Drosophila melanogaster: one gene and its partner. The protein of the gene in region 1 interacts with the protein of each later gene in a pairwise test. Each region holds a gene or a part of one and is shown in the gene's direction. Other genes may lie near its edges. The genes, in order: CG5674 and Traf-like.

Region 1 (5,208 bases):
CGGCATGAGTGCAAACTGATTAATCACATTTGGTGGGCTTACATTTATGGCAGATGTGGGGACATATTCGTGTGTATGTACCAGGAAATGGGCGGCAAACACATGCAGATGTCACATTAGCCTTATACTTTAATTAATTTCTAATCCCAGCTCATTGAAGGCGGCTGCAATTAGATGGCGACGCCGTTGCTTGTAGGCTGGCAAGGATTACAAGGATGTGGCCGCTTGGCCCCGACATTTGTCAAACACTAAACACTGAAGAAGCCAAAGGAGGATATCAATTTGTGCATTTGAGTGTAAAGTACGGATTCGCCTGCCCATCAACTGCAAATTAGACATTCAAAATTTAATCGGCAATGCAAGTTTTTGGGGATTTTGGGGCGGGCACATAATTAAGCTGCAACTTTGTGGGGATTATTCAATGCGAATTGGAATCAACCAAAACCACAAGCTTTTAACATTAAATGCGATGAACTATTTGGTTAAGTTGGTAATCCAGCATTGCGGCGGGTGAAATAGTTTAAGGGCCTCATTAATGTGGTTGCGGCTTGGGAATATTTTGGAAATTGATCTTTATGTAGCCTAAATGCATAAGAAGGAGGTCTTTAAACTGTTCTTCCTTGTAGCTAATTGGATTTGAAGTTCGGAGCGGAGTTTATGTATCTTTTGATATACACATTCACTTTATATCCTTACTCAATTACCTTTTCAGCCTTATCGCGCTGCCTAATTCCTTAATCCGCAACTAAATTTCCATTTGAAGCGTAATAAATTATTTATTCTCAATAGCCGACAGCACAACAAGTTGGGAAAGGCGTACAACAAAATCTGAGAAGTCTGCATAGCTAAATTTGCAAAATGTGTTAACAAACTGCCACGCCCACCGATACGAGGCACTGTGATTTGTGCGGAGGGCAATTTATATGCCACAGAAGCCGGCTGCCACGCCCCCTTCTCGGTACCGGGAGGCACTTTACACTCAAATTGTGTTAATTTGCATATTGGAAACTTTTGCCTAATTGAACATAATGCCACTTAATTAAAGTTAAGACAAGTTTTTGACGGTAAAATGGTTTTGGGCCTGGGGGATGTCGGGGATGTCTTGGCAACTAAAAGTATGCCCGACATTTATGGCAGTTTGTTGTTGAAATTTACGGCAATTAGTTTAATATGAGCAGATTATGAGGGACACAGGACGCAATAAAATCCCTTCGGCGGTGGCAAATTAATTTTTAGGGGCATCCCCGAATAAACACAGACACTGAGACATATGGAAATCAATTAGCTCTTCAGAGTCTAAGTCCTCGCCTTAAATGTTTAATGGCCCATTTTTATGTTTGCCTTTGGCTGCCTAATTGTTAGTTGTTTAAATATTTACTTAGAATTAGTTGGGACCCAAATGACAGCGTGTCAAGGGTAGGAAACTAATGTTAAAAGAGTTTCGTTTGGTTTTTATTTAATATTTGCGAAGGTGAATTGCTATTCAAGTGTCAGTCCAACACATTCTTCGCTTCTCTACATATATATTTGAAATATATTGGTATAAAATAATATTGAGTGGTGTTTAATAATCTTCGACTATTAGCGCTGTTCCGGCCAAGAGAATTTGTTCCGCAGTTCCGGTCACAATATCAACATTTAGGTGGCAAATCAATTTGTCGCGACTGCTCCGAGAATATAATGGGAGTTTGGGCTTCGATTCAGCATTTTGCGTGGAATATAGCGAATTTTTGCCGTATTTTGAGGAACTAGTAGTCGTATGACTGACATTTTGTACTTCGTCTTTTATTTTGTACTTGATGTAGAAGGGGTTCGATTTTCCCATTCCACTCTGGGCGCCATCAATCTGTAATGGAAAATGAATAGTGCCAAGTTTAGTTACTAATGAAATACTTAGATATATTCCACATTACATATATTCACAATTGCTAAAAACAAAAAAAAAGGCGAAAAGCGGGTAGATGATTTGCAAAGTTTATTCTCCAAGTCCTAAAATGTATATACAAAAAAATAGTTATTTGTTTTTTTACAGTGTTAGTTCTAGCAGGTACACCCATCAGGGCATAGCGGATGCACTCCCCATAGTCAGCTTCCAAACCGATTATCGATTGGCATCGAATACGTAGATATACAAACGAGAAGGGAAAGTAAAATGTAAGTTTGTGCTCAGAACTGCTTATCGATAGGCATCGGACAAGGTGCCATCTCTAATTCCCCCTCTTGTACCGGAATGTCAATCAAATGAAAACAAAAAAAGCGGCGTGAGAAAACTGAAAAGAACGGGCATCCAGTGCACATTTCAAGCTTAATTTCGATGCATTGAACGGCGGCGGCGCACCGAAAACAGGAGGCGCAGGATTACGGATACGGAAGCTATGGAAACGGCCAGAATGGAGACGGCGATGGAGACACATTTTATGGCCAAAATGGGGAAGGTGAGGAACAAAGACAAGAAGCAAACGGGCAAGAGGGAGAGAAGATGTCATCAGTCTTCGTCCCAAAAGATAAATAAGTATCTTTTGGGATTTTGGATTGGGGGAATCAATTTGGACTATGGATGTATGCATATCTACTATCCAGGTAATCCGTAACAGAGTATTGTTACTGTTACTACTACTACGTGTGCATCCAATTGTATCTGATATAGCAACCTGGCAAAATGTATCCCAAAATTATTTCTCAATGTTTATTGTATTTACTGTAACGCTTCTCGAGGGCTTATGATATTTAATGGTTATCCCCAACTTAACCAATGCGCCATCTACCGCGAATATTATAGTTATGGCAATTTCTTGGCTGATTATCCTGCGATTAGTTAAATTTCCTTTTATGGCTTCGAAATATATTCTTAGTCGCTAAAGAAGAAGACATAGAAGACATAACCCCTTGAATCATGAGTAAGTGGCTTGCTGAATTTGATTTCACAACTTGATGTCAAAACATTATCGGTTAAAGATACTAATTCTTACTCACCTTTAGCGGCGCCAGCTTGAGTATTATGTCCGAAGAATCACTTTCCAAGTTTGAGGAGCCGCAAGTTTGCAACTCCAGGCGTTCGGTGGAAACTGCCAGTTTTCGAGACTGCAGCAGCTTTAAACAGGACAACAGGTTCTCACAGTTAAACACCTGGACGAAATTGATATCCTCTACAAAATCCAGATGCATTTGCTCCCGGAATCGAAGTTCGGCAGCCTGGGCTCGAACGATTAGGGCTCTTAAAAAGTCCACGGCACTGTTGCTGCCAGGTCCAGGCCATAGTTTAAGCCAACTGGCAGGAATCTATGAATTTCAGTTTATTATGCATTTTCAAGTTACGTTACTGTACCCCAGTTTCTTACCTGCTGTTCTGCCAGAGTTCTCAGAGTGCTGCCATCCACCTCCTGCGACTCCTTAAGCCAGGCATGCATCTGCGACAAAGTCTGGTGAACTATGCCGTAGAGATCCGCCCCTAGTTTCAGTTCAGCCAGCACAAAAAGTGCCCAGGGAGATTCACCCACATCAGTTTTTGCCTCCTTCATAGTCTGGATTATGGTACACGAAGCCGCCAACTTTCTCCATAGATTCAGTAGGGGTTTAATTTGCTGTTCCAGCTTCTGACGACCAGTGAGCTGATCGTTTCCCTTAGACTCTCCTGCTCCTCCAGAATCCTTAGCCAAGCCTCTTCCGTAATGCAATCCCCTGAGTTCCTTTATCACTCTTTTGGCCTGTTCAATTTCGCGTTGCTGTTGTGCCTGATTGGCCAAACCATACATACTGGGCTCATCTGTGTCAGGAAGTTTCTCCAATGCAGCGTAGTAGTCCTGCAGTTGACCGCTAGTTGGTATGGATAGAGATAATCCAAGAGGTGACCAACGATTGCTTAAGACGTCCGCTGAACAAAACTGGTTCAGATAGGTTGTGAGTATCTCCAGATCCCTCTGATTATTTACTCTTCCGCCATAAGCGAGGGCTTCACTGAGACGTTGCATCAGCAACCAATCGCATTTTCCTGAATTAAGTTGCTGATCCATCATTCTTAGGATACCCAGAGCCGCTTTTAGATCTGCCTCACCGAATTCATAGTATTTTGACCAACCTTGTGGTATAAACTGTCGCCTTTGTTGAAGCACAGCTGTTAGGACAAAATAAACCAGTCTCATCTTGAGGCTCTTTGGTTGGTTTTTAAGCTTTTGATCCTGTTCAGCAGCGAAGTTCTGGAGCAAACGCATCACAATCTGCTTTAGTCCCTTAGGCTGCTCATAACGTACTTTAAGGCATTTATAAATGGCAGCTTCGGAAAATCCCTCGGTTGATTCGCACAATAGCCACAATCGAAAGTCTTTCGATTTTTGAATTTCACTTAATTCCCTTTCCATTTGAGTTAGAAATTCCGGCACCAAATGGACATTCTTAACGCATAACCAGTGGCCATCTATGGCAGCCTGACGCATTTCGGAGAGAACTCTTTTCTCAACACCTTTTCCAATAGCCATTTCTCTATACTTTTGATTGGCCCACTTTCTCAATTCAGTTGTTGGATCATTTTCCGCATGACTAACCATCAAAATCGGGCGATCACAGCTGCTCTGCTGCAGCAACTGCTCCACAGAAGGTTGGGTGGAGGCATCTGGGGAAATTCCCAGCAGATCGCTACTCACTTTTCGCAGTTGGTGAAGCATCAAGTCGGGTCGGAAAATCTGAGCAATAAGCACACGCTGGAAGCTGGACCCCAACGCAGCTGTAAGTTCGAAAATAAATCTGAATAAGATGAAATTAACTAAATTATTTCTACAACTTACGTAGCACATCATCCGCTTGAGCCTCAATGAATCCGCGCCAGATATAGTCCTTCTCCAACTGGAGCTTGCTTCGCAAATCTGGGAACAATTGGAGTAACATAGCCAGCTTTAATTGCGCTTCCTTGGGCATGCAGTCGGGCAGTTTTCCAAGCTGACTTAGCACCATACTGCCATCAGAACTACCCATGAAATTGTTCACAAACAGCTCCCACTCCTTGGGGTTTAATCTATCGGGATATGCCTGATGACAAACCCACAAGGATAAGGATAGCTGGCTATCTCTAGAAGTAGCTCTAGCTAAATTCATATAAACACTTCGTACAAGACAATCATAGACCTTGGACTCATCTCGTTGACTTTTGGAAAGAGCCCCCAAAAATAGTTCAATGTAAACAAGAGGGGATAATTCATAGCCCTGGATGAGGCCTGC
Region 2 (4,940 bases), on another chromosome or scaffold:
GATGTGGCTGTCAAGTGTACGGCCGTTCTGTGCTGCCGCCTTAGTCCGCTGCAGAAAAGCGAAGTGGTGTCATTGATCAAGTCATCCAATGAGAACTACAACACGGCCTCCATTGGCGATGGCGCCAATGATGTGTCGATGATCCAGGAGGCTCACGTGGGCATCGGCATCATGGGACGCGAGGGCAGGCAGGCGGCACGATGCGCCGATTTTGCCTTCGCCAAGTTTTGCATGCTCAAGAGATTGCTTCTCGTCCATGGACACTATCACAGTGTCCGACTGTCCCTGCTGGTGCTGTACTTCTTCTACAAGAACATCGTCTTTATGGGCATCATGTTCCTGTTCCAGTTTCACACGCTGTTCTCCTCATCCTCCGTCTACGATTCGCTATTCCTTACCTTGTACAATGTGATATACACCTCGCTGCCCATTTTGTTCATAGCTATCTCCGAGAAGCCATACACCGAGGAGAAGTTGATGAGGTAACAGTGGGTTCAATCGTTTATATGTATAATGTTGATGTTACTAAAAATGCAACTTGAACAGAACGCCACAGCTTTACAAGAAGAACACGGACAACAAGCAGCTCCACTGGCCGTACTTCCTGATGTGGGTCCTATTTGCGATCTACCACAGTGTCATCATATTCTACTTCGCCTTCTGCTTCTTCTACTACAACAACGTTCTCCTGAACTACGGACAGACGGTGGCCTTCTCCTGCTTCGGCACCCTCCTCATGTGGACGGTGGTGGTGGTCGTGAACCTTAAGCTCTGGCTCGAGTCAATGTATCTGTCCTTTTGGTATATATTCACCATTATCATTTCCATTTTGGGCTTTGTAGTCACAACGGTTATCTACAACGTTATCAATCTGTGAGTTCATGGCTACGAATGTATCCATTTAAGGTTTAAACTAATATGTATATGTATTATTTGCAGGGACTACGACACCGACATCTACTGGGCCTACAACAATCTGTTGGCCTCACTGCCAGTCTGGCTGTGGATCATAGTGACCTGTGTGGCCTGCCTGGTACCCGACTATACCATCCGAATGCTCCAGAGGGCGCTCAACATAAAGAGTTTCAGCATTTTTCCCGGAAAACAACGGAAACTTAAGATGCGCGAGAAGTTTGAGTCCACATACTTGTAATCGTCGATTAGGCTATAGTTTTTATACCCCTAATTTATTTATTTCCTCATGTATACAATTTTTTTTTTTTTTGTTAGATAAACAAATTTTTGTTAAACGTTTGAACAATAGATTTGATTTCTGACCACCACCTTAGAGGTAGGAAAGTATCTCAACTTCCCAAATGGAGAACCTTGAAATCGTATGCTAACACTCGCAATCAACTGGGAAGTACGACATTTTAGGCTGATAACATTTTTATCATAATCTCGGCGACTTATTGAGAGCAAGTGCAACTACACTTGGAAAAATGGTTCGTTTACGAAAATGCTGGGTTTCAATACAGCTACACGATACAAACATCTAATTAATAAAGGATTTATTTAATATTTTTCCTACATCGGATATTGTTTAAAAATATATACGAAAGTATATAGCCCGTTTTTATCACAGTTTAGCCGTTGCCCCACTTTTGATACCATAAAGTAGGGCGGCGAGTCAGTAAATGTACTTCAATCCCGATCCACATATGTGTACGTAGGGCACCTGTTGGTTCGGCCATACCCACTGCCACGCCCACGATCACTGCCGCCCACCACATTGTTATCTAGTTGATGGCGTCGTTACCATTTGCATTGCCGAGGCAATGGACAAAGTTTTGATTGTGAAGCCCGTTTTTCATTGATAATGTTATCTCCACTCGCATTCCGAATATGTTTGTACAAGGGGAGCTAGAGATATGAACATTTTGCAGGTACATATGTGGCCATATAGTCGCTGGAAGATCTGGTGACGGTTACGATTTTAGTGGATTCTCGGTGGCTGTGTTTTCCTGGTCGTAGTTCGCCAAGTTAGTGGTCAATACGATTCGTTGGTTGCTCTCGCATTTCGAAATAGTGGTAATCGCACCAAATGGCAGTGCTATCAGTTCGAGGTTGTCGTATAGATTCCCATGGACGCCCTAATGCTAACACATGTGCAAAGCTATATCTAAACCATGTCTGTGTGCGCCGCGTATGACTATGCCCAAGGAAATTCTTAATCATTTTTGGCTGAGTTTAGTGTGCATAGGGCGGTGCTCGCAGCGCCAGAGAATTTGCTGATCCAAAGTTTCAATCGAATTTGCTTTCCTTTAATCAATATAATGTCACTGACCAAGTCGTCGTCGAGAAAGGATCTAACCGAGCAGAATCAGTATCAGAATCAGAATGAGAATCAGAATCAGCCCAAATCGACGACCATAGTCAAGTATGAGAAGTCGTCGTGCCTCTTCTGCAACGAATGGTTCGATGCCCAGACATTCACGGTTATAATCGTCCAACTTTTCAGTTCACCTTTGATTACTATTACATTACTCCTCTTTGGATGCGACTGCAGGAACACCTGATCCACTGCGGCCAGGTGCTGGAGGAGTGTCCCAACGGCTGTCAGGCCTTCATTCCACGCATCCGTATGCGATCCCATCTGAAGGAGTGTCCACGCAACCAGCACAATCTGAGCAATCAGCAACGCATGAGTGTCAGCATGGATCGCCTGGATAGGCAGTCGGATCAGCGTCTCCTGGTCATTGAACAGGACGTGGGCACCATTCGGTCCGTTCTCAACGAGGAGATACGACAGCGTTTGCATCTCATTACCGATGTGGGCAACATACGGAAGCAGAACCAGGTCGTCGAGGACTGGACCCGCGAAACCGAGAAGGCAATGGACGATCTGCGTCGCCAGATGGAGGAGGAAACCAATCGGAAGGCATTCGCCATCGAACAGAACCAGCTGGATGTCCAGTACTGCTGTGATATCACACAGGTTAGTTAATGCTACTTTATTTAAATATATATATACTATCTATCTTTAATGTGCATATCTCCGTCGAAGTCCTTGAAAGAGCAAGTGGAGTCCAGGCTGGATGAGGCCCAAAAGCTGGTCAATCAGCTCTCGGCGGACGTGACCTATCACCAGAATCAGCTAAACGACAATATCCTAAAGCTGGAGGAGCTGATCTTTGAGAACGAGCGGCTCAACAGGGAGAAGTTCTTTCAGATCGAGGAGTTTCTGCAGCAGATCAATGAGGACATCAAAACAAAGCTGGGCAACAGTGACTATGTGACGTCAAAGCAGGCCACATTGGACTATGAGGTGAAGAATGTGAAGAACATTGTGTGCGAAACGGAGGAACGTTGCGATAAATTGGATCGAGCACTTCACCAGACCATGCAGAATATATCGGATTTGGAGACCCAAATGGCCATGCAGCAGCGGATTGCCAGTGTCCAGAATATAAGGGGTACATATTGTTGGTTCAATATAGTAATTTAAATATATAATATCTGGTCGTACAGGACACTTGATTTGGCGCATCAAGGATTACTCGAAAAAACTGGAAGAGTCCAAGCAGTACGACACCATCCTCCATAGCGCCATGTTCTCCAATAAAGCCTTTGGCTATGCTCTACGGGTGAGTTGAGGTTGGATCTTGGTTGGATATGCCATTTATATATGTATACCCCATTACTAGCTGGATATATACTTGAATGGCAAGGGCACCTGGAAGGGCAGGAACATGATCGCCTGCTTGAACGTTCTATCCGGAGAGTACGATCCCCTTCTGGCCTGGCCATGCCGCCTTCAGGCCGAGATCATCATCCGGGATCAGTGCACGAATGTGGCAGATGCCGAGGATTATGTGAAGACCATCTTTGTGCGCAAGAAGAGCGATGATTTTATCCAAAGCAACCAGTACTTCCATATACCACACAAGGTAATCACCAGTCGCAACTATCTTCGCAACGATTCCATGTTCATCGAGGTTCGAGTTCTAAAATAAAACCCATGCAGCATCGCTATCCCACCCACCAGGAGCGATAAGAAAAAAAAAATCCAATTGCGGATTGTCACATACATAAAACATAATTTATTCCATTGAGAGCGAACTGGAAGTTAAAAACCCGCTTACAAACACGAGTATGTGTACATATATAGTGTATAAGTGCATACGAATCGATTCATCGTTTCAATATGCGTATATTGTAGTTTTAAATGTCATTGCAGTTTTAAATGCTTTTTTTCAAATTAGGCAATAGTCACATTGAGGCACTGTCGAGACGAAGTCGGTAGTTAGAAAGCATAGCTTTTATTGCAACATTTCCCTGGTCACTTTGTCAAGATATAAGCAACTCTTTCATTTTTTGGTTTTTCATTTCGAGCAAATTAACAAGCGATTTTTGAGAGGAACTTCCATATTATTTGTCTTTACGAACGCATTTAAATACAAAGGTCTTTTAATAAAATACAACTTCAACACTTGTCAACTGTCGGTTCCCATGTTCATTTCTTTGAAAGAGGTATCAAATGTCTGATCCCGTTCAGGTATTATTTGTGTGCACTTATAGTCTACGTTGTGGATCATAATTGTCTGGCTTCGTTGGCGTGTTCTTGTATGTTGTATGCATTTAAATGAACGAATACATAGAAGAGATAATACATATTCGAATAATTGATTTCACGTCGGATTTGGTTTGAATAATACATATATATGTATATGCGGAGATTCTTAAGAGGAGCGCTGTTCACCCACCAGGGCATAAAGGGCGTGCTTGTAGTGGCCCGAAGTATCGCCCTGCAAGTAGGATTTTATATGATTATAGAATATAGATATAGATAGATATATATATCTTACCTTGATCCAGCTCTTGAGGGACTTGCCGTACAGACGTTCGAACGCTACCTTAATGTCCGTCATATCAATCTGAAAAACGTTGCAACATTTTAGGGTTGAATGATATTATATATAGATGTACTTACCTCGCTG

What was found.
Region 2: the proteins of CG5674 (region 1) and Traf-like interact in a two-hybrid assay, tested with the Drosophila melanogaster proteins (2 studies listed by BioGRID).

The regions. Positions count from the first base shown.
Region 1 is NT_033779.5:17,961,171-17,966,378, forward strand, and holds the start of CG5674 (uncharacterized protein), read left to right. Parts: upstream 1-2,208; 5' UTR 2,209-2,375; coding exon 2,376-2,435; intron 2,436-2,973; coding exon of another isoform or gene 2,974-3,279; intron 3,280-3,338; coding exon of another isoform or gene 3,339-4,717; intron 4,718-4,778; coding exon of another isoform or gene 4,779-5,208. Other genes in the region: btv (beethoven), read right to left, coding at 1,565-1,846, 2,974-3,279, 3,339-4,717, 4,779-5,208.
Region 2 is NC_004354.4:16,413,148-16,418,087, forward strand, and holds Traf-like (TNF-receptor-associated factor-like), read left to right. Parts: upstream 1-1,898; 5' UTR 1,899-2,276; coding exon 2,277-2,438; coding exon of another isoform or gene 2,439-2,509; coding exon 2,510-2,938; intron 2,939-3,007; coding exon 3,008-3,416; intron 3,417-3,471; coding exon 3,472-3,587; intron 3,588-3,647; coding exon 3,648-3,956; 3' UTR 3,957-4,438; downstream 4,439-4,940. Other genes in the region: CG4301 (uncharacterized protein), read left to right, coding at 1-482, 547-873, 940-1,153; AnxB11 (annexin B11), read right to left, coding at 4,683-4,748, 4,809-4,877, 4,934-4,940.